Caenorhabditis elegans: one gene and its partner. The protein of the gene in region 1 purifies or fractionates together with the protein of each later gene. This does not show direct contact. Each region holds a gene or a part of one and is shown on either strand. Other genes may lie near its edges. The genes, in order: gsto-1 and aco-1.

The links.
Region 2: the proteins of gsto-1 (region 1) and aco-1 fractionate together in Caenorhabditis elegans (co-fractionation; one large-scale study listed by BioGRID). This does not show direct contact.

What each region holds. Positions count from the first base shown.
Region 1 is NC_003281.10:7,944,846-7,949,010, forward strand, and holds gsto-1 (Glutathione transferase omega-1), read right to left. Parts: upstream 2,174-4,165; coding exon 2,028-2,173; intron 1,945-2,027; coding exon 1,725-1,944; intron 1,187-1,724; coding exon 1,060-1,186; intron 1,010-1,059; coding exon 750-1,009; 3' UTR 697-749; downstream 1-696. Other genes in the region: Condensin-2 complex subunit kle-2, read left to right, coding at 196-462; col-90 (Putative cuticle collagen 90), read left to right, coding at 4,045-4,165. UniProt on the Caenorhabditis elegans protein: Exhibits glutathione-dependent thiol transferase activity. Has dehydroascorbate reductase activity and may contribute to the recycling of ascorbic acid. Participates in the biotransformation of inorganic arsenic and reduces monomethylarsonic acid (MMA).
Region 2 is NC_003284.9:11,337,862-11,343,910, reverse strand, and holds aco-1 (Cytoplasmic aconitate hydratase), read right to left. Parts: upstream 4,038-6,049; 5' UTR 4,036-4,037; coding exon 3,945-4,035; intron 3,766-3,944; coding exon 3,597-3,765; intron 3,547-3,596; coding exon 3,409-3,546; intron 3,362-3,408; coding exon 3,292-3,361; intron 3,120-3,291; coding exon 2,311-3,119; intron 2,263-2,310; coding exon 1,974-2,262; intron 1,927-1,973; coding exon 1,348-1,926; intron 1,268-1,347; coding exon 749-1,267; 3' UTR 584-748; downstream 1-583. Other genes in the region: Receptor-type guanylate cyclase gcy-9, read left to right, coding at 6,042-6,049. UniProt on the Caenorhabditis elegans protein: Catalyzes the isomerization of citrate to isocitrate via cis-aconitate. Has probably no RNA-binding activity.

The DNA of each region.
Region 1 (4,165 bases):
TTGCCAGTTTTTGACAGTAAATAAAAAAATTTTCAAAAGTTTTATCATGATATTTGGTCATTTTGGAACCAAAGGAGTGGTTTTTAACAATTTCCCCACTGGCGCTACTCCACCTTTAATATTCTGGTCAACCACAGTAATTTGAAAAGTCAAAATGTCTAAATGTTTGAATTTCTCAATTATAATAATTTTCAGGTTCACGCAGTTGGTCGTGCTGTCATTGGCCAATACGATATTGAAGGTGGCACGAAACGTTTACTAGATTTGGTTATGGATCGTCCATGGTACGAAATCAGTCGATACTTCCTTTCGTGCCTCTTTATGTGTAATGTCGGAAATGTCATGGTCAGCGAGGACATGGAACTGCCACTCGAGGAAAGAATCAACTCGATGAAAATCACACTACTCAAAAGAGATATGCATTGTGAAATGTTCAAGGAGGCTGGCGCTCTTGATGCCTAATTTATAATTATTGTTTTTTTTGCATTAAATCTCCCGAAAACCATCTTAATTTATTTAAACATTCCTCATTGTCTCTACTTGTATCTCGATTTCTGGCTATACTTTCATTTTACTGTATCAATTAATTAACTTCTAGATGCCAAGTATTTTTCTTCTGTTCGTTATGGTACTTTACTGACTGTACAATAACTTTTTTTCCGACGAATTACCACTATTTCTTTGATTGTTTTTTAATTACGTCCTTCATTTTTTATTCAATCTTAAAAATAAATCGACTGGTTTTAATATCAAAGGCCCAAATCATAATTCAATTCCTGGTGCGTGGCATATGCGTTCATGAATGCAGCGCCATGTTCCAAAGATTGGGTGACGGATTGAACAACATCTGAAGAAATCATTTTCTGGAACCATTTTGTCAATTTAGGATATTCTTCTTCTCCTGGGAATTCAATTGTTGGTAAATCGACAACTCCATCCAAACTAGCTGACCACCAAATTTTCTCAAAAAATGGAAATGATAAGTAGTCTGGATAACCTGGTTGAGATCCTGAATAGTTTGAATTTGGTCAAAAAATTGTATCGATTAATTGAACTCACCAGCATAAAAATCATTGGCCAAGAGATTTTCAGCTTGTTTCAAAACTTCAAAAACTTTTCGCTGCTTTTCATCTTTCAAAGTTCGGTCTCGCATGACGGCGAAGAGCAATGGAACTGCATGGGCTACCTGAATTGCTTATTTAAAACAAAATAGTTTAGAAAATAGAAAAATTCAAGATCATATTTGAATTTCCTCCAAAATGAATAGCCACGCCCACTCTCAAACCAATCAGAGTTTTGGACTCCAAACACTCATCTGATTGGTTGAAAAATGGGCGGAGCGAATAACTGATTTTTTATATTAGAGGAAGTTCAAAAAGGGGATTAGAAACTATGTATGTTTCCTTCCATTTTTAAAGGTATTGGTATCGCTGCGCCTTCAAAACAACTGTAGAGACGTGCAGATCTTTTTTTTTATTTTAAAAGTTTTAGTTAAAGTTCTGGTAAATTGGCAAATTTCGAATAATGTGCTTTTAGTAATTTCGAGCATTTCGGAAAGTGAAATTTAGAACTCGTATAAAACAATCATTTTTTGGACGACTTCCAAAATTAGGATAGAAGGAAACTAATGGTAAATAATTGCCATTGCATTAGTCTTAAACCATGTTTATTGTTTTTATATATAACACTTTTTATTTCTTTTGAAAAACAAAATAAAACCAAACCGCAGTTAACCTGTCCGCTAGCAGCTTTTGTTGCACCTTTTCGTACGGGTCAGTTGGAAGAATACGAGTTTCTGGAAATGCATCATCCAAATATTCAGGAATAAATCCAGACTCAATGACCACTTTTCCATTGTGCTCTACTGCTGGAGCCTTTCCCTGATAATGTTTTGTCCAGTACCATTCAAGTTTGTCAGTTACGTTGAGATTGACTACCTCCGCTCTGAAAATTCAATGGTTTTTTTCTTAAAAAAGTACTTTTCATATGTCTATTTTAGAAACTAATAAAATAAATAAACTACTCACTCAATTCCTTTAGCTGCAACATAAAGCATTGCTCTTTCAGCCCATGGACAGAATCTCATGTTGTAGACACGAAAAGATCCCTTTGATAGCGGAGGTTCCGCATCTCCTTTTCGAATTGCTTTTGATGTTACTCCGGTTAAAACCATCTATAAACATCTACATTTTGAATTTTTCTACAGAAAAATACATTTGGACAGTACAGAACAAATTTCAAGCCAAAAATATATTTTCTACTAGGAAGGGTAATTTGTGTAGAAGGTAGACATTAGAATGGTTATAAATGTATAATTTTAATACTCCAATATTTGAATTCAAACAGCAGTGATCGTGCGGAATAAAAATTGAATAACTAACTGGAAAATGTTGAAAAGCTGAAAAATTGATAAGAAAGAAAATATAGAAAACTGATAAGAATTACAAGAAGTGAAAAATGATCTGATGCAACAAGTAAACACATCAAATTAGGAGTGGAACCGCTATAAAAAAAGTTATAAGAGATCTGGAAATTAGATCATTTATGTCACTTTCAGTCTTTTAAATAGCGGAGCAGCGCCAGTTTTGTATTAGAAAACACTTATAATGGTCCGAAAATGACCTAAATAAATGACCAAATATTGATTTCCAACGTTTTCAGACAACTTTTTAGCAAAGTGCCAAAAAAACATGTGTTCGGTTTCCAAACTTATGTAGTTATCGCAGACTATAATATCACCTTCCAAACAAATGAACATTCCTCAAAACTTGATTTTAGCCCTTTTATCCTACCGAACAATGTGATATATCTGTTATCGAAAGATGAATAAATGAGATATTAAAATTAATCAAAATGTTCGAGTAGAGCTTTTTTAAATCCCAATGCAATATCAATATAAGTTGTGTACTTTAGAAAAAATCAGAATTTTTCGATCTTCGATGCTTTTCCCATTCCAACGTTCAGAGTGTCTTGACGTGACGACCAAGAAGAAGAGAAAGAAAAAAACTCGTTTTTCGCACTTTCTCCTCACTTTTTCAATGTTCAAAAAAGGATAAGGCTACGTAGACAAACTATGAATGGTTTGTGAAAATTATGGAATTTAAGTTAACTTTGGTAGAAGCTCGGTTTGATGGAAAACAAGTTTATATTGGGCTCACTGTTTTTTTAAACAGAAAATGGTTATTTGAAAAAGAATTTTCAAAAGATTATTATTTAACTCATACAAAAAACATTACAAGTAATTAAAGATAATTTCAAAATAAGTTATAATATACAAAACTCACATACAAACAACTGAGTAGGAGAGTCTACATATGAATTTCATATAATTTCATTACTCTGTTCAAATGCATCCTAACTTCATTCAAGTTCCTGAAACATTTTTTAACTGCAAAAGTATCCCATGCTTGCAGGTTTTTTTGGCTCTGGAAACATGCTGAATATTGCTGTTTTAATCGATTTTCAGAAAAAACACGCAAGTTTTAATATTTTGGAATTTTTAAGCTTATGAATTCTCCAGTTTCCACTTACAGGAAGATCAACAAACATCATTTCTCTTTTAAACTTTTTCACTTACATCGAAAATATAAGTTTAACTTCCAGGAAGATAATTCTTGTATTTATGATATTTGTGTATTTCCATGGGGTACTGTAATTGTATAGCACTAAATATTAAATTTCAATTTTTTTAATCTAGAACAAGTTCGTTTCGAAATAAAATCATTTTTCCTGAAATATGAAAATACATTCTAATTCAGAATAATCAGAATAAATCAAATAAATAATTATTCCATATTCCACCACTAATCATCAGTCATATCCATTAATCAACTTCCTTCATCATCATTCCATCCAACTGACGAACAACACAACAATTCGAATTTTTTTTCGGTTTTTTCTTCGATCGGATCAAGTTTTTCGGCGAGTTTTTGCCGCCGCCAAAGGGCGTTTACGAGAGAATGAGTATAAAAAGGATATGTGAGGGTAATTGCATTTATCTGAATTTGAATTCCATTTGGAATCAGCGAATTCTGATTCAAAATCATGTCGACTATTGGTTATATTGGTGCTTCAATTTGTCTTCTTGGAGTTCTTTCATCTCTTTTCTCAATTAGTCATATTGTTAGAGATATTAATTCTCTGCGTGATGAAGTTGAAGGACGTG
Region 2 (6,049 bases), on another chromosome or scaffold:
AGCGGTCAATTATTACAGTCTTCATTCATTTCTCTGGCAAAGAACGTAAAGTTATGCAAAATTTACTTATTTTGAAATAAAAATATCTTTTGCGCTGGCAAGGGTCTCATATTACTTTAGTGATGTTAGCTATAGGGCAACTGAGATTTTATTGGGTGAGTGTGCACTTTTAAATGGGACTGAATAGTACGAATGAACTGCTGAAATGTTAGTCTATAAAAAGTCAGTTCAGTACAAATAAATACCGTAATCTCTCTGTTCATTTTGTTCAAACAACTAGAATGTTTGAGCTTTTACACCCAATTTTGTTGTTCTCAATGAAGATGTTTTCTTATTTATTTATACTCTTATGACTGAGAGAACAAAAAATACAATTAGTGATGACGACCTTTAAGAAAAAGTTGCAAAATGTTATATCCTAAACACTGTCAAACTGGAAGCACATTTCTTTCTCCTATAAATAGTAGAAATACGTTATTTGTTGAGTTTTAGTAAAATATTACGAATTTAAGTGGTTTTAGCAAAACAGAGACGCCAAAACTAAAATAAATTTGACCATCCACATGTTTTATAGCCCAATTATAAAAAGTATTGATTTATTTCGTTGCTCCAAATCACAAATTTATTGGACTTCAAACATGTTCATAAAATATCACAGAAAATAGAGAAGGATTGATGCATCGAAAAGTAAATAGTTATCTAAAAATAGAAAAAATTGACTTTCAAAAATTTAAGCTAAAATAACAGTTTATTGGATCAACTTTCTGATCATGTATTGGAGGATTCCTCCGTTGCGGTAATAGGTGAGTTCGACTTCAGTGTCAAATCTACAGATGACTTGGAAAACTGAACCATTGGATACATTCACATCAATGAGCTGTCCTGGCTTCAAATCGTCTGGAACTCCAATTGAGAATTGTTCTTTTCCAGTAAGTCCGAGACTATCAGCGTTTTGACCAGCTTGATATTGGAATGGAATAATGCCCATTCCAATCAGGTTGGAACGATGAATTCTTTCGAAGCTTTCAGCGATAACAGCCTTGACTCCTTGGAGGAATGGCCCCTTTGCAGCCCAATCGCGAGATGAGCCACATCCATATTCTTTTCCAGCAAGAATGATGGCTGGAATTCCGGCATCCTTGTACTTTTGAGCAGCGTCAAAGATGTCGAGCTCTTCTCCAGATGGCACATGGAGTGTAATAGGACCAACCTTCGACGCAAGCTTATTAACAAGACGAATGTTGGCGAATGTTCCACGAGCCATGATCTGAAATTTAAAAAAAAACGTGATGTGTTGTTAAATTCAAAGTTTTTAGAAAATCATATATTGAATGAATAAACTCTTACCTCATCGTTACCACGGCGAGCTCCATAAGTGTTGAAATCTCTTGGCGTTACTCCACGTCCAGCAAGGAATCTGGCGGCGGGAGAGGTCTTCGAGATTGATCCAGCTGGAGAAATATGATCAGTGGTTACCGAGTCACCGAGATTCAACAAAACGTGTGCGTTTACAATATCGGATTGTGATGGAAGCTCGCTAGTCATTCCATCAAAGAATGGAACCTTCTTGATGTAAGTAGAGGCATCGTCCCATGGGTAAAGCTTGACAGCCGGGCACTCCAATTGTTGCCACTCCGTGGATCCAAGCTCAATGTTAGCGTACACCTCGCGGAAGAATTGTGGCTTCACGAATTCCTCCTCAAACTTGGCAACTTCTTTTCTGGTTGGCCAAATGTCGGCTAGTCGGATTTCCTTTCCGTCAGGAGTAACAGCAAGAACTCCGTTAATGTCAACATTGACGTTTCCGATGATCGAGTAAAGAACAGCCAAAGGTGGAGATGCCAAATAGTTAGCACGAACATGTGGGTGAATTCTTCCTTCAAAGTTTCTATTTCCAGAGAGAACTCCGGCAACGACAAGGTTATTCTGAATAAACAATTATTTTGAAAAGAAAACAGTAGTTTCAACAATACCTCTTCGATGGCCTTTGTTACTGGCTCATCAAGTGGCCCAGAGTTTCCGATGCATGTCATGCAACCATATCCAGCAATATTAAATCCAATCTTCTCAAGGTATGGAAGAAGACCAGATGCTTCCAGGTATTTTGTGACGACTCCTGATCCTGGAGAGAGGGATGTTTTCACATATGGTTGGACATTCAATCCCAACTCAACAGCCTTCTTGGCAACCAATCCAGCTGCGAGCATGACACTTGGGTTACTGGTGTTTGTGCAGGATGTGATGGCAGCAATAACTACGGATCTGGAAGAAACATTATTTTTTGCATGTACTTCTAATTTATAGTCTTACCCGTGAGTAAGCTCTGCGGTTCTTCCGTGGTTGGTAATTGTGACAGATTTAGTGGCATCTTCTGGTTTAAGGCCAAAAGCTTTGAAGGAGATCTTATCAGTGAGCCCTTTGGAGAAATCTTGAGCCAGAGAAGCAAGCTCAACTCTGTCATGTGGACGCTTAGGTCCGGAGACACTTGGCACTACACTTCCAAGGTCCAATTTCAAAGTGGTAGTGTATGTTGGGCGGTAGGAGTCATCGGTGAAATTGACGAACATGCCAACAGACTTGAGGTATTGTTCCACGCGTTGAGTATAATCGGTATCACGTCCGGTTTGAGTGAGGTAGTCAATGGTACGGCTATCGACTGGGAAGAATCCAATTGTTGCTCCATATTCGGGGCACATGTTAGCAATTGTTGCACGATCGGCGATGGAGAGCGATGCAACTCCAGTTCCAAAGAACTCAACAAACTTTCCAACAACTCCGAGATCACGAAGGTTCTTTGTGATTGTAAGAACCAAGTCGGTACTGGTAACGGTATCACTGAGAGTTCCAACCAATTCGTATCCAATAACTTCTGGAATAACCATGGAAATTGGCTGTCCGAGCATCACAGCTTCAGCTTCAATTCCTCCAACACCCCATCCAAGAACACCACTTCCATCAATCATTGTGGTGTGGGAGTCGGTTCCAACGACGGAGTCAGGGTAGAGAACGCCATCCTTTCCAACAAACACTGTTCTGGCAAGATATTCAAGATTAACCTGATGGACGATTCCAGATCCTGGCGGTACAATAAGAAGATTGTCGAAAGCTTTGGATCCCCACTGAAAATAATTTGATAATACAATTTCATTTAAGCTATCTGAATATTTGTGTGTTCATTGAACAAAGTAGTGATAAGGGCAATCAAATGCATAGCGTGATTTTCCGAAAAGTGATGGGGAGAGTAAAACGTGACAGTGAAACTCTGAAAGTGGCATTTTCACCTTTCCTTACCTTCAAAAAGTTGAAGCGTTCTCTGTTTCGCTCAAACTCAATGGACTGATTCTTGGCAAGGGCTTCAAGGCTGAAAAAAATACAATAAATGTATAAACCAGGTTGCGCAGAACGTACTTTCCGTAGTGATCGACTTGCACGGAGTGATCGATGACAAGGTCAACTGGGCATACTGGGTTGATCTTGGCCGGGTCAGCACCCATATTTTGAACGGCGTCACGCATAGCGGCAAGATCTACGACGGCTGGAACTCCACTGAAAATTGCTTGATGTACATAAATTTGGTAATTTATTTTCAAGCTCACGTAAAATCTTGGAGAATAACGCGTGCTGGTTTGAAAGGAATCTCAGCTTGGTTACGCTGGCTGTTTTTCCAATCAAGAATGGTTTCCACGTCCTTCTTCAATACATGGAACTCATCGCAATGACGAACTGCGGCTTCCAACAAGTACTTGATGGAGATTGGAAGCTCGTCTGAAAATTTTGGGAAGGTTTTTAAAGAAAATGATTTATATATGACTTTAACATAATGAATTTATTCTTGCTCGTCGAAATTCGCTGTTTTTTTTTTCGTTTACAAAAGTTCCAAAATTGAATATATGCAGATATATTTTAGATAGATTGAGAATAGGATGTAAAATAGTTATACTTACTGTAACGAGCATCATTGAGACCATTCAAGTCAAAGTATTTGTAGACGTTATCTCCGATAGCCAAGTTGCGGATAAGGTTGTTGAAAGCCATATCTGGAAAGTTAGATATGGAAAAAATTTAAAAAAAAAAGGATTTCGATAGAAAAGAACGACAAAAGTGCATTGTAATGAAAAAGAGAATGCGAGGAAAACTAATGGAGGCGTGCCGAATCGGTGTAGTCGACCTGTCCGTTTTTGTGTGTGTCTGAGCGCGCTTAGTGTGTGTGGCTGTATTGAATGTGAGAGCGTTTTGTGTATGTTGTGTATGTGTGTGTGTGTGCCAAGGTCGGTCGAAGATAGTCATCTTTCATATCAGCTAGGACGAAATTGCGTCGTTGTCCAGTGTTTCTAGAAGGCTAATGTCGAGAAAAAAGGCGGCGAGAAAAAACGATACCATCTCAGAACTCAAGAAACAGTCAAAAAAGGTAAATGTGCACAGTGAAATAGTGTGCGGTGGGAAGAGAAGAAGAGGGCCGATCTGCATACACGTTGCGTACTTGACCCAAGAGGTTACGACAATGTTGCAGTGTGGTTTTTTTGAGAATTGAAACAATGCGCTCTCAGACATATTGAGAGATAAAAAGAAAATTCAGAGATTTGTGTCCGATATTTTTTATCTTTTGTTATCATTGATATCAGATCATTTAAAAAAGATTATCAAGTGGGAGAACTTTGCACAGATTGATGGTGAGGTGGAAATTCCTTTGGGAAACTGAAGAGCAAAAATTCGTTTTATTTTTCAAAAAAAAAAACATTTGAAAAAATGCAATCGAATCCATGCTATAACTAAACTAATACACTAGAATCTAGAATCACTAGAATCTGTAGTTCACAAAATTCATAGAGTACGGAATTTCTGTTAGCGTGACTAAAATTTACTAAGTTAAAAAAACAGAAGATGTTTGAGCACAAGCTGGTTGGTTTTTTGATTGATATTTTTGTTTCATATGTCTCTGTTCTTCATGATAATTTACTATATATAATATAAAGCGCTTATTCTGTGTGTCCATAGTTTGTAGTCTATGTAGTCTTTGTAGTCTGTGAAGTTTTGACTTCTGGAGGGATAGTGAGTTGGGGTTAGTGTAGGGATATAGTCGGGGTACTGTAGTGGTACAATAGTGGTACGGTAGGAATACTGTAGGGTTACGGTAGTTTCATAAAAATTGATTTTCAGCCCTAGAAGTCGGGGGCCGCGCCGAAGGTGCGGACCACGGCTGGTTCATAATATTACAATTACCGTTTTTCATAGTTTACCGCGTATCATTGTATAACCATGTTTTATTCAGAAAGACTTTGCATATATATTTTTATTTGATCCCAAGTTGAGATTCATAGAAACGTATTTTATTAAAATTGGTCTCACAATCATTCCCCGTATTACCTCTAGTAGCCTTTTAAGTTGTAAAAAGCAAGACAAGTGCTAACATGTGTAAACGTTTTGAACAAGTCTAGGTTTATTTTTTCAGGAATTGAAGAATTATCTGAAAATTCTACAAGGTACGCCTTGTCTTGTCCCGAATTATTGAAATACTGATTGAAGTTCTAATATTAGGATGACTCTTAGAAATGCAAGAAAATTACACACTGTATAACTAATAGGGAGTACACTTGGTAAATGAATAACACTGTTAAAAATTCTGAAAACTACCAAAAAAAAAACTCGGCTTGTTTTTTTAAAAGTATTTTCGTGTGTTTCGATGATGTTGCATTAGACAGTGTCATAGTTCTACGCTGAGATCCTATTAATGTATTCACAACAACCTAGTCATCAGTGTACATCAGAAAAACGTAGGATTCGACGCTTGTTGTGACACACACTTGCCTTCTTTCCATTAAACCCCATCTATCCACTTCCGATGGGCCCTTCCGGCATGATAAGAAGTGAGTGGCTACATAAGACTTCACACCTCCTTCGGAGATTCATCAATCCAACTACTCCGAATTTTTTACATTTTACTTCTACATATATTGGAATTCGTTCCATCAACACATTCCTGTAAAAAATATATAAGAATTGTTACTGTTTGCGGGATAAATGCCCCTCATATGAGATGATAAATGCGTTT